Linked DNA regions of Arabidopsis thaliana. The protein of the gene in region 2 interacts with the protein of the main gene of each other region in a pairwise test. Each region holds a gene or a part of one and is shown on either strand. Other genes may lie near its edges.

Region 1 (4,385 bases), on a different chromosome or scaffold from region 2:
TCTTCACAATAATAGGAGAAACCAAATGTTATGTCAAACTTGTCATCACACAACTCAAAGCACCTTGACACTTACATTTTGGGCTACATTTTGACAGTAATACGGTAACTAACAACAATTTATATGAAAAATCAGTAGATTAAATTACCAAATACATATAAATATGTTTCAGTAAAAAATAAAGAATGTGTGCTAATGCTTAGATATTTATACAGAGTGAAAATGACCTAAAGAAGCAGAACTGTCCAGAAGAGTTAATTTACTCTCTTTTATTTTCTGTTATCATAAGGAAACGGTCACGAGAAAGACACAAACTCACCAGTTACCACTTGCAAAAAGAGAGTTCAACCTTTAGAGATTCTTCTGTCGTTTAACGTCGTCGTTTCAACGTTTGTTCCCTCTAGATTCATTGTACCACAAAATAACAAAAGTGGCGCACTTCTCTAGGCAATCACTTTGATGATCAGTTGATCACCGCTTTTTTTCTGATCACAAATTTACGAGAACCGGTTTGGTTCAAACTTAGCTTGTGACTTCTTTGTTATGTTCAACAGTTCTCACATACTCTTAGTAGCATACAAAGAAGATTTATTTGATTAAACAGATGAGAGGTTCAAACACATTATGACAAATGTTAAAGGAGTTTTGGGGCATAAAGTAACAAAAACAAAACACAAACGAATTCAAAAGATTCACTAAAACAAAAACTACCACAACCCCTAAAAATAAGCCTCTACTTAACTTCATCACAACTACCCTCAAGATAGAGGCTCATGGCTTCTCGCAATGCAAACAGGAACTCCTGAGAGAGACAGACAGAGACAGCAGAAGAAGATGCAAGTAACAGACATTAGAAAGTTTTGGAGGTTGATAAACGAACGATGCGGGAAACTCACAAACATGCAGCCTTATTTACATGAAACTGGATCTCTTCAGAAGACTCCTCCAATCATGGAATGAATTTCATCAATACTCCATAGGTCCATAGGGTTTGCACCATTGTCCTGAGTCGTTACAGCATCTTCGTTGAGGAAATCCAGTGAAGCGTCCCATTCAGTGTTGTTGTAAGGTGTCTCGAAATCCATAGACTTGAGCTTCTTAGCTGGATTGGCTTCCTCAAAGAACAGAGCTGAGTTGTTGTTGTTGATAACCGCAGAAGAGATGTCGGGAGTTATCGGAGCTTGATCGCTCCAACCAAACTCCGAACAATCGAAAGAATTACTACCCTGGTCAGAGCTGAAATACTGATACCCATTACATCCAGCATCAACGGAGTTTGTCATCCCAAACTGGTTGTTGTTGTTGTTGCTCACTTGGTGTTTCTCCTCCATGAAACACATATTTTCAAAGGAGATGTTCGAGTTCTGAACCAAAGCTGGACTTGGGTTAGGGTTAGGTTTAGCCACTGGTTTCTGAAGATTAGCCTTCACAGAGCGTTTCTGAGAATTAGCCTTCATGTTTTCTTCAGGGAAATTCACCTTAGCTTTAGATCCACGGATTCTCCGCGCTGCAGCATCGTAAGCTCTAGCAGCTTCCTCAGCTGTCTTGAACGTTCCAAGCCAGATTCTAGCACCTTCCCTTGGATCACGTATCTCAGCAGCCCATTTTCCCCAAGGACGTTGCCTAATCCCTCGGTACTGATTCTTCCTCTTCCTATTTGCAGATTTCTCAGCGTCCCCATCCAAGCCAGTAACTTTCTTACCAAAAACTGAACCTAGTAGTGAAACAACAACAAAACAAAAGAGTTCTTCTATAAATAACTCATCAACAATCTCTAATCAAATCTCATCACACAAATCAAGTCTCATCACTCAACCTCATATGCATATAAATATCACACAAATCAAACCTCATGCTTTATACAACAATCAAAATCGTAAGCAGATAAAGGTATCTATGAACAGAGCTAAATAGAATCGAAACTTAATTTCTAACCAATTCAATCGCTCAAACTAAAGTCAATCCCTAAATATTTACCTTCCGCAGCGGCGGAGACGGCGGGTTTTGGAGTCGAAGTGAAAACGAATGGTTTCACATCGGCGAAAACATCACCGACGTCGAAATCATCATCGCAATCGATAGACGAATCATCTTTGAAACCTTGGAAATCAGCTTCGAACTCAGCGTCAAAATCGAAGAAATTCGAACGATTCTTCGAGCTTTTCTTCGATCCTTTCAAATTCTTCTTCAGATCCGGCCAAATAAACTCGCTAGTAACACGGCGAGACCTCGGCGGTGGAATGAAATCGGATATTATAGCTCCTCCACACATGGCGGCGATTCTTGAGGGTGTAAATGTTCGAAAACAGAATCTTAGCGGCGAAAATGGAAACTAATTGATACTTTTGGGGGTTATATCTTTGCTTCTTCTTCTCTCTTCAACGCTTTGCTTTGTTGTTTTCTTCAGAAAGAGATTTTAGAGTAAAATAAAAGATGAAGCGAGTACGATGGTTGTTTACTATTATACCCTTATCTTGATGTACTATTTACGGTACTACCAGACTTTTATATTCATTTACTGTAGATCTATATTGTAAATTAGGATTTTATTAGTTTATTAATAGTTAGTTGCAGTAAATAAGATTAAAAATTTAGTCAGAGTTGTCTGCTGGTAGACAAAAATAGTCTAAACAAATTTTTACCTAACGTCAATTGATTTTTTCATAAAGTCTATTTCCCTTAGATCTAGTATCTATTAATGTGATTAGGCATTAAAAACACAACTAAATACTTTTGCAATGTTGTTTGCATTCAGGAGTAGCCAACGCAGAACAGATATTTAACATTTAAATTTAAATAATATTATAAATGAATTATGAAAATGTTTTAACATAGGCACAAAATAAATGAATTATTGAAAATATAATGAAAAACTATACAACAACTTTTGAATGTAATTTTGATTAGGAGAGAGGACCATTAAGACCTTATGCTGTTATGCATAAGGCTAAAATTGTAAAAGCATAGAAACACATTTATGAATCTGCGTGTGCAGGACACGTACGATATTATTGAAGCTTTTTGAGCAAGTTGATAGGATTTGGTTTTTATGACAAAGCTTTTGTCGTTTCGTGACAAACAAAAAAGTTATTAAAAATAATCCGAAAAATATATTTGTCCTTTTGTTTGATAACTAGCATTCCAAATCAATTACTAGTTTTCTTAAACTCAATTTAAAATTTCCTTGTAATTCTGTTTACTCTTAACTAACTTTATTAGGTCCAAATTATCAGGCATCGTAAATTACGGAATATTCAGTAGGTATGTGTTATGTGTATGTGTACGTGGAAACCATATTTTGTTGTTTTATGGTGAAATATATTTTATGGTTGCAACTTTCTAAATTATGTATAAACAACTATTGGAAATTCAGTTAAAAGAAAATTTTATTTTATAAAATTCAACTTCATACGTGTATAGTTATACTACATATAATATATATATATATATATATATATATATATATTAGTGCAATCATGTACTATATATTTATATATTAAGATCAAATTGTGAACGCAAAGAAAGACAGATGAATAAAATAGGTAGGGTCCAAATCATTTTACAGGATTGAGACAAGTTCCTAAATTAGCTTATCTCAAAGAAACAGATAATGATGTCAATATGTCATTCATGGAGCAATTATTTGTTTCACTATTTTAACTTTTAATAATTGACTATACTCGTTTCGGAACTGTACATTAGTACAATTTCTTTGTGTTTATAGATATAAACCTTATGTTTTGTTTTTCTAACCAAATTTATAAGAAGCAAAACAAATTCCAGTAGTTGATTTTTTGTTCACTAACTGGAATTCTTAAATCTGAACATAACTTCTCATTAATTGGAATCATTGGATGGATACAAAGTGAAATCATTTTACACAAGGCAAGTTGTCTTTTTGGGCCGAATCGCTAAGATAGTGGGCTTCATAGGTCGAGTTATAGGCACTTGCATTTAGTTTAATTGATTGGCCTTTTAATTGGGCCGAGACCACGAACCTGCTTAGTTACTCGTGACAGTGTGACACTATAAAACAATAAATTAGTTGGGGAATTGGGTTGAACAAAGTGATCACTTGACAAGTAAAACAATAATTCCAATTGTTTAAAATACAGTATTTTGGCCTGTACATATTCAACACGTGACTAAATGAGTTGTTCATATCTTCTCAACCAAAGAGTGTCTATGTCCCTGTCACATACATTTAAAATATCTCCCATACATAAAAAAAAAAGAAGCAAATCGAATAATTTATTTATCAGAGAGATTTTCTTCTTTAAAATAATTCTTTATCCAGTTCATATCCATCATGTCACGATCCAATCTGAATATTAAAATGTTCTTCGAATTAATCAGATTTAGTTATGAAATATGAGTCATATCTC
Region 2 (5,668 bases):
TCAATCCTTAATCTAGAGTCTAGCTAGTGACCTAGAAAGAGATAGATGTAGACTTTTATATATATGAAGCGATAAAGAAGAGCCTATTTGGTGTTTTCTCCAATGATGTGCATAAAATATATATAATTAACAAATTAAAAATACGTTAACTGAGATCTCAGATACTCAGGTCATTAGTACAAAGTACAAACGTCTAATAGAGGCCAATTTTGTCATCCATATTCAATTCAAACCATATCATTTGCCATAACCGTACCCATATATAGATATTTGTTAGTCTACAAAAGACTGTATAAATCGTTTTATCTTGTGTTCAAGCCATCAACTATGATATCAAATTACCAGATCACTCATGCTAAAGAATCCATCGAAATGTATTAAGTTTGTCGAAGTTCGTTACTCTATATGGTGGATTTTAAATATTTGATTTGGTTAGATAATTTTTAGTTATACCGTCAAATAAATTTCCAACTATTTAGTCAGCGAATTTAAAGATCAAACACTAATCATCAGTAATGGTTTGCTGAAAATCGTCAGAATTTCTTTTACTAGTGAGCAAGTTTTAAGATGAAATAAAAGGTGTGAAACGAAATAGAGAAAAGGTAGAGAGGGAAGAGACAAGCGTGAGACACGGAGAAGTGGAACTGATCTCTTTACGTTCCTCGTACGTTTACCAAGTTACACTGCTTTCCATATTTCTATATTATTATTCCCTCCATCCCTTTCTTCACATACTTTATGTAACTTCTTTTTAAAAACCAATTATTTGTATTCTAATTGATTGAATCAAATAGTTTCTATAAGACTATAAATAAACATAATTCGAATTCAAATTCGGCAGCGTTGAAAGATATATGTTGAACAATACATTACCACACTTATTAGTAGAATATATTTATTTCTAGAGTCTCAAAACATAAGCCAAAAAGCCGAAAGCACCTTTTTATCTTTGTGGGTTTGGTGCAATGGATCATATATATGGTACATTAGCATTTTTATCATCTTTCTCTTTTATCATTTTTCTTGTATTGTCGGGCTTGCGTCAGGCCTGTACTTATCTTCATACAACATTATTTATGTACATAACCAGAATTCAGGCCACAAACAATACGTGAGCTATTCAGGATCACGAGGTCCACGCGCTCGCTCACCTTCCTCTTTCCTCAAAGGCTTTAGCTAATTGTTAACTAGATGGAAAACAGTGCTATGGTTGAATTTTAACATATTGGTTACTACTATCTCAATAATATTTTGTAATACAAATGTCGGTAGATGAATTGATATACCACCTTCATGGATGATGAAGATCCACTTTTAAAGCCCAATTTTTTGTTTTTCTTCGATGCCGAAATCAATATGGGCACATGTGGATCCTACTATAGCAGTTCCTCAATTTGAGTTAAAAATCTTTGGGTTTTAGGCTTTTAGCCCAAGGAAAAAAAAAAAAAAAAGAACCAATTTTTATTTTTTATAATTTAATAAGAACCAAATTATTCATCATTATATACTTCTGACAACAAATATTTACTATGTATATTATATAGTGAAGAAGCTGTGACATGAAACAGATTCAAGCCAATCGTCTGATTAGCTAGAGAATCACTGTCATAATCTATTAGTTGACAAAGAATGAATGACACTAGTACAGTAGTTAATATGAGTGCGGATTCTCGTAATCTCAACGTATCTACGTCAATAAGCTCATTTATACATCATTAAATTAAAGTACAACATTCCAATTTATGTTTGGTGGGTTCCTTTTTATCAAGACGTATACGATTATACCAAACCTTTATCCATAATTATTTTTAAATGATACATTTCGTAAATATTAATATTACGATTATTATTTTTAAACCTAAAATCTTTGAATTTTATAAAATTTTAAAATTGATAAAAAAGATACGGGATTTTTTTTGAGTTAATTGATTTTCTAATAAAGATATTGGATTCTTAGTGTTTTTTTTATTCTATAATTTATTTATAACGCGGAAATAAAAAGCAAAATAATTAATTAAGTGAGGAGAGTTTTAATATTTTGATGTTTATTTCTAAATTCATCTCTTTTTTCCACTTCTGTTCAGCTCTGATGAATCTTCTTCCTCTGTTACTTTGATCTCTTTCTCCATCCTTGTCTCTGTCGATTCTCTGAGATATCTTCTCTCGAGCTTTTTCCCGCGTTATCTCTCTCCCACTCCTGGTAATATTTTCTTCTTCTTCTTCTTCTAGATTGTTCTTCCGTTACTAGCTCTTGAATCCATTTCCACGGATCTCTGATCTTCAATCTCTGTTTTCATTCTCTCTAATCAGTTGTTGAGCTTGATATTTTTAGCTAACGTTTTTCCGATTCAAATTTACGATTTGTGTGTTTTCCGATAACCAAATCGGATATCTTCAGCTCAAACTCGAGCTCCGATTTCGTCTCATGTTGTAGATCTCGACGACTTCGTATTTGTCTATGGTTTGCTGATTGTATTCAGATTGCTAGATACTCAATATAGAGCTTACTTTTACCTCAGCTAGGGTTCGTCTTTGTTGTACCTTTAGTTGCTGCTTTTTGATTCTTGTATATATGGATTTTGATTGTTCAATCGTAATTTCTGGTTCATTGAAAATCGATTTATTAGTATTCGAAATTGGAACTAAGATTTAGAGATTGCGAATTTGATACAGAAGTCATTTCAAAGTATCAGAGCTATAAAATGGTGCTTAGCTAGTTTCTGGTTTCCATTTCTGGATTTTCATTCAAATACGAAATCTATTCGTCAAAATGGTGTCACTAGTGTTCTGTAGAAATTTCATTACAGACTTTTAGTTGTTGCCTAGTATCAACTCATATCTCAGCGGTAGATATGATGAATCTACTAGACATATTTTTCAATTATCGCCTCCTTTTACAAGTTTATCATGTCATTATTTTGTTGATAACTACATGAATGCTGGCTGAAATATTAATTTGTCTCTTTTTCCTCTTAATTGGTTCAGGTTGGAGCTTGATGTCTAAATTGTTATTGAACTGCTGGAGTCTGTCTTGCTTTAAGTAGAAAGAGATGAGTTACACGACGGCGACTGCTGATAGTGATGATGGTATGCACTCCAGCATCCATAATGAATCACCAGCTCCTGATAGTATTAGCAATGGCTGCAGAAGTAGAGGGAAAAGAAGTGTCCTGAAGAAAGGACCATGGACTTCAACTGAAGACGGGATTTTAATTGATTATGTAAAGAAGCACGGCGAGGGTAACTGGAATGCTGTGCAGAAACACACTAGCCTGGCCCGTTGTGGTAAAAGCTGTCGTCTGAGATGGGCTAATCATCTGAGGCCAAACTTGAAGAAAGGAGCATTTAGCCAAGAAGAAGAACAGCTCATTGTTGAAATGCACGCCAAGATGGGAAATAAATGGGCACAGATGGCTGAACATGTAAGTAGTTTTGTAACTGCGGAAGCTACCTGATCATGGTCCATTTTCATATTTTGATATTCTTTGTGAGCCTAAAGACTAATTAATCTCTGGTATGATGTTTTCTTCTTGTTTACCAGTTACCTGGTCGAACAGATAATGAGATAAAGAATTATTGGAACACTCGTATCAAGAGGAGACAACGAGCAGGCTTACCACTTTACCCTCCTGAAATCTATGTTGATGACCTTCATTGGAGCGAAGAGTATACAAAGAGTAATATCATAAGAGTAGATAGAAGAAGAAGACATCAAGATTTCTTGCAGTTGGGGAATTCTAAAGATAATGTCTTATTTGACGATCTAAATTTTGCTGCTAGCTTGTTACCTGCCGCTTCTGACCTATCAGATTTGGTTGCATGCAACATGCTAGGAACTGGCGCAAGTTCTTCCCGGTATGAGAGCTACATGCCACCAATATTGCCTTCCCCAAAGCAAATCTGGGAATCTGGATCTCGGTTTCCCATGTGCAGCAGTAACATAAAGCATGAATTCCAATCGCCGGAACACTTTCAGAATACGGCTGTACAGAAGAATCCCAGATCTTGCAGTATCTCGCCTTGTGATGTTGATCATCATCCTTATGAAAACCAACATTCGTCTCATATGATGATGGTTCCTGATAGCCATACAGTTACGTATGGCATGCATCCTACTTCTAAGCCCTTGTTTGGGGCAGTGAAGCTGGAGCTCCCTTCATTCCAATATTCAGAAACTAGTGCATTTGATCAGTGGAAGACGACTCCGTCACCTCCACACTCAGATCTCCTTGACTCTGTTGATGCCTATATTCAATCTCCACCACCATCGCAGGTAGAGGAGTCAGATTGTTTCTCTTCATGCGACACCGGCCTACTAGATATGTTACTTCATGAGGCCAAGATCAAAACTAGTGCGAAGCACAGTTTGTTGATGTCATCACCCCAGAAGAGTTTCAGTTCAACTACTTGCACGACCAATGTTACTCAGAATGTACCACGTGGCAGCGAAAACCTGATCAAATCAGGAGAATATGAAGATTCCCAAAAGTATTTGGGTCGCTCCGAGATTACAAGTCCCTCGCAACTTAGTGCAGGTGGTTTTTCATCAGGTGAGTTGATCAAAGTTACTTGTTGATTGGTATCTTATCTACTCTTGTTCCATATTGATTCTTATGCAGCTGTGTTGGTTTTCGTATATGAAGCTTTTGCAGGGAATGTTGTAAAGACAGAAGAGTTGGATCAGGTTTGGGAACCAAAGAGAGTTGATATAACACGGCCTGATGTTTTACTTGCGTCGAGCTGGCTTGACCAAGGCTGTTATGGCATTGTTAGTGACACAAGCAGCATGAGTGATGCGCTTGCACTTCTTGGTGGTGACGACATTGGGAACAGTTACGTGACTGTTGGGTCATCATCAGGTCAAGCACCACGAGGCGTCGGGTCTTATGGATGGACCAATATGCCTCCTGTTTGGTCGCTGTAACAAAATGAACCATATCACACAATTTGAATCTTTCTGTATTTTCATGCACCTGGCTTACATGACTTGGTGGTTTGTTATAGTTGAGAGAAGATTTGTGGACTTGGTAAAAATTTGGATTTTCTTCACCTGATTTTTCTTATACTTGGAAGGCATTTATATATACTCATTTCTTGTTCCTGCTACTTCCATCATACTAGCTCGATTGGTTTTGTTTAGATTGTAAAGAAGCAAATCAAAATTAGGGCTTATTGTAGCCCAACCTCTAATTGGGACCGGAGACACAGCAGCATGAGCGATGCGCTTTATTTCACAACTTGAAACTAGACGCTAATCAAACGTTACATAAGATTATGTAAAAAACAACATACTCCATAATAGTGGCTCCAGCACTCTCAATATATAGAGACATCAAAGGGAAATGAATCATTACAAATAATAAAAAAGTTTTAGGTCTTGCTTCTCGCAAAGTAACGGTGCCCCAAGAGGATTAAAACCCAAAATTCTCATGGGACTCCGAAATGATTTTACCTCATACTCCGGTTTTCTTGTTTCTAATGATTTCCTTAAGCTCTGCAAACTTCTTCTTGCATTGGTTCATCGTTTTACCAGGGACAGCTGCAGCTACTCTCTCCCATCTTTGGCTTGTCTCTTTCGGGAATGTCTTTAAAGCTTGAACCAAAGCTCTTTCTTGCACAGTCGACCAACTATCTGCGTCTGAACTTCCACCTACTTCACCATTGTTGT
Region 3 (3,229 bases), on a different chromosome or scaffold from region 2:
ATAGAGAGATTTGGATGCGTGCGAGTGACTGTGAGACACGTGCAAAGATATGGATGATGACTTCAAATCAATGTTATGACTTTCATAGTTTACACATATGTCATCCAACTTTCCTCCTTTTTAGATATTTACAATTTCGGCGTTTTGTTTTTCATATTCATCGAATTTTTTGGAAAGTAATTCTAGTCCAGTAGTCCTAATTTTTGTTTACATTTTAATGGTGCACCTGTAGTTACTGCAGCTGGAACATATTGGTGATCTCTACTAATGTGTAGCTTTTATTTAATTGAAGATTTGTTACATCTGATTTTTTGTAGTCGAAAGTTCATATGTTTTCGCTAAAGGAGAAAAAAAACTTGCAGGAATATAAATATATACACAAACACAAAGTTTGTCAGGTTAAAATGATTAGAATATTAAAGTTTGGAGATTTGCTCATAACATTAAAATAATAAATTCAGGAAAAAAAGACAACATAAGAGTTTTATTTTAGGCAGCACATCGTCTATTTGGCATTACAACCAATAATTTAAATTTCAATCAGATTTTGATCGAATTTTATAAGATGTACGTATAAACGGCCATGTGTGGTACTTTAGGTATTTCGGTAACCATGATTAATTAAGAAAAGGAAAAAAGAAAAACACTATAATACATGCTCTTGTTCTTAAAGAAATCAAGAGAAAAAAAAAAACACAGATGATTTTCGTTTAAAGACAACAAAAAAAACATGAAACAAACTATAAATTATACACTTAAACTAAAAGTCAAGTACTATCTTGAACAATGGACTTGAGAGCAATCGTCTGCAACTCAAGACATTTAATGTAGTTACCAATCTCACTCAACATTTCTTCCACATTCATCTCTTCCCCACCTGGCAAAAGCTTCTTCAATTCCCTCAGTCTCTCCTCTATCCCTCCTTCTTCGTTTCCGCCTTCTTTATCGGGTCTTTCAAGAATCCGAATTCCATCGGAAGAAGAACTAGTGGTAGTGGTTGGATTCGATGAGGACGATAGCTTCTGCAGCAAGAAACGGCTCCATGCAAATTCTTGAGCAGACAAAGCCAAAGCCATATCTACTTCATGCTTCACGGTTTGTTTTGAAGAGTTCTTGTTCATGTTGAGCTTCTTGAGTGCAGGAACCAAGTGGCTTGTGTATTTTCTCGTGAAAACTGCACTAGGGTTCTTGTTTGGTTCAAGAGAAAACACTCGTTTCTTCCTGTTTATGATTTGCCTCTCCATATGAGAAACTATTTTTGCTGCAAATGAAAGTCTACAAGGGAGAAAGTTACATATATAGCAAACTTAGAATATGAGAGAGACAAAGAAAGAGAAGAGCGGTGTCCTACGTTTGTTTGTATATAACAAGCGTTGATGATGTATAAAGTAAAGTTGTAGAACTTAATTTTCTTTGTATACATATATGAGGTAATATGTTTGGGAGTGTTATTATTTTTCGTTCACGTACAAAACACAAGACTATTTGAAAGTCGTAGTTAGTAGTTTTCTTTTTTAGACAAATATTTTAAAAACAACGGAATTTGAATATCATCAACTAATATATGTTTTTTTGTATAATACATTTATTTTTAGAAAATACACGAAAACAAAAAGAGAGTGTGTATATATATATATATATATATATATATACATAAATAAAGAGAGAAAAATAAGAAAAGAAGAATTTGGGAATAATAATGGGTGAGGGAAGAAAAAACACATGGAGTCACATGCAAGAGCTCTAATTTGGCTGCATCACAACTACCCCTAAAGAGGTGCTTTGAGAGACCCTTTTACCATGTGGCTCCATTCCAAGAACAAGACATCAATACAAAACCCCACCTTCTCTTAATGCTTTCACATGTTCCTTCCTCTTAACCTCTCTCTCTCTCACTCACTCACTCACACACTTTGTATATACATAATACATGTATGCATGTGTATGTGTCCTTGGACCAATCTCCTAATTAGTTTGATCAATCTATGTCATTTCTACCCATATTATCTTAATATAGATCTCCCTCATATTATATATACCATTTGACCTTCTTTTTTTTTATGCTGCATGTGTGATGAATTTGGGTTTCACTACCCACTACTTTTGCGATATTTGGATACAGATGGTAACTTGCTAAACAGAAATTTAGTTATTATTAGTGGTAGTTCAATTGGTGATCTGTACAACATATCAAGACAAACATCTTTGAAACTGAATTTTACTGCCACTGTAACTAATATGACGTAGATACAAGTTTCTTTACTACGCATATTAACATAAAGTTAAGATGCATGTGGTCAGTAATTGGGTTATTAATACGTTTTATTTGTCAAGGACTTTTAGTCGTGATTTTTTGATTCTAAGCATCATTGCATTCCAGGTTTAAAGATGACTTTAATTTTTCCTATAGGATTTGTAAATAGATAAATATAGTTTATGTTGACACAAAAGGTCACCTTTGATATGATATGAAAGTCTGGGTGTTACTCATTTGTTATTTTATTTTTATTTTTTAAAATATATACCGAATCATTTAGATATATATATATATATATATATATAATAATAATAATAATAATAATAACAATAAAATGTCCAAACAATATCTATAACTACTAAACATGGGCGGTTGAGACATTACAAGTTGTCTCTTAATCTTATAGTGTTTGATACATGCAATATACACGTTACTAGCTTTTGTTGTTAATAGCCAAAACTGAATGATCTCTTATTGGTTTTGTTGTGTTCTTTATCCTACCACACAAAAAAAGTCAAGGGTTAGTAGATTATCAATCAATGCAGCAAGGAAATTTTATTTCTCTTTTGTAAATAATCTTTTTTTTTGTTAGAATGTGATGTTTTCTCGTATTATATTTTAATGCAATCCCATAACCTTTGATTGAATGTGGAAAACATGTGTTAATGGTAACCCATCTAGATGAAATTAATTAATCTATAAACTTTACTAAATACAAGTAGATAAAAGTACATAAAGGTAGAGGAATTTTCTAGTTAAAAACAAACGAAATAATATATATATATATATTGGATATATATATATATATATATATAATCTAAGAGGAGAAAGAAATTGAGATGCAAACTAATAGATGTGGATACCAAAATAGATACTAGACATTCACACCTATAGTAGACATTGAACAATAATGCATATAATCATAAAAGTTTCTTGGAATTTTGCTTAATGGTTTTCCACCTTTGACAATCC

What was found.
Region 1: the proteins of MYB65 (region 2) and RAP2.12 interact in a two-hybrid assay, tested with the Arabidopsis thaliana proteins (one large-scale study listed by BioGRID).
Region 3: the proteins of MYB65 (region 2) and AT4G30180 interact in a two-hybrid assay, tested with the Arabidopsis thaliana proteins (one large-scale study listed by BioGRID).

Annotation. Positions count from the first base shown.
Region 1 is NC_003070.9:20,133,129-20,137,513, reverse strand, and holds RAP2.12 (uncharacterized protein), read right to left. Parts: upstream 2,671-4,385; 5' UTR 2,273-2,670; coding exon 1,978-2,272; intron 1,715-1,977; coding exon 933-1,714; 3' UTR 501-932; downstream 1-500. UniProt on the Arabidopsis thaliana protein: Transcription factor involved in the activation of hypoxic gene expression and in ethylene response. Partially redundant with RAP2-2. Acts as a downstream regulator in the ethylene signaling pathway.
Region 2 is NC_003074.8:3,600,006-3,605,673, forward strand, and holds MYB65 (myb domain protein 65), read left to right. Parts: upstream 1-2,030; 5' UTR 2,031-2,200; intron 2,201-2,343; exon of another isoform or gene 2,344-2,524; intron 2,525-2,878; exon of another isoform or gene 2,879-2,985; 5' UTR 2,986-3,050; coding exon 3,051-3,422; intron 3,423-3,541; coding exon 3,542-4,550; coding exon of another isoform or gene 4,551-4,576; exon of another isoform or gene 4,577-4,643; coding exon 4,644-4,924; 3' UTR 4,925-5,167; downstream 5,168-5,668. Other genes in the region: AT3G11450 (DnaJ and Myb-like DNA-binding domain-containing protein), read right to left, coding at 5,454-5,668. UniProt on the Arabidopsis thaliana protein: Transcriptional activator of alpha-amylase expression that binds to 5'-CAACTGTC-3' motif in target gene promoter. In vegetative tissues, inhibits growth by reducing cell proliferation. Promotes the expression of aleurone-related genes (e.g.
Region 3 is NC_003075.7:14,767,043-14,770,271, reverse strand, and holds AT4G30180 (uncharacterized protein), read right to left. Parts: upstream 1,489-3,229; 5' UTR 1,245-1,488; coding exon 768-1,244; 3' UTR 501-767; downstream 1-500.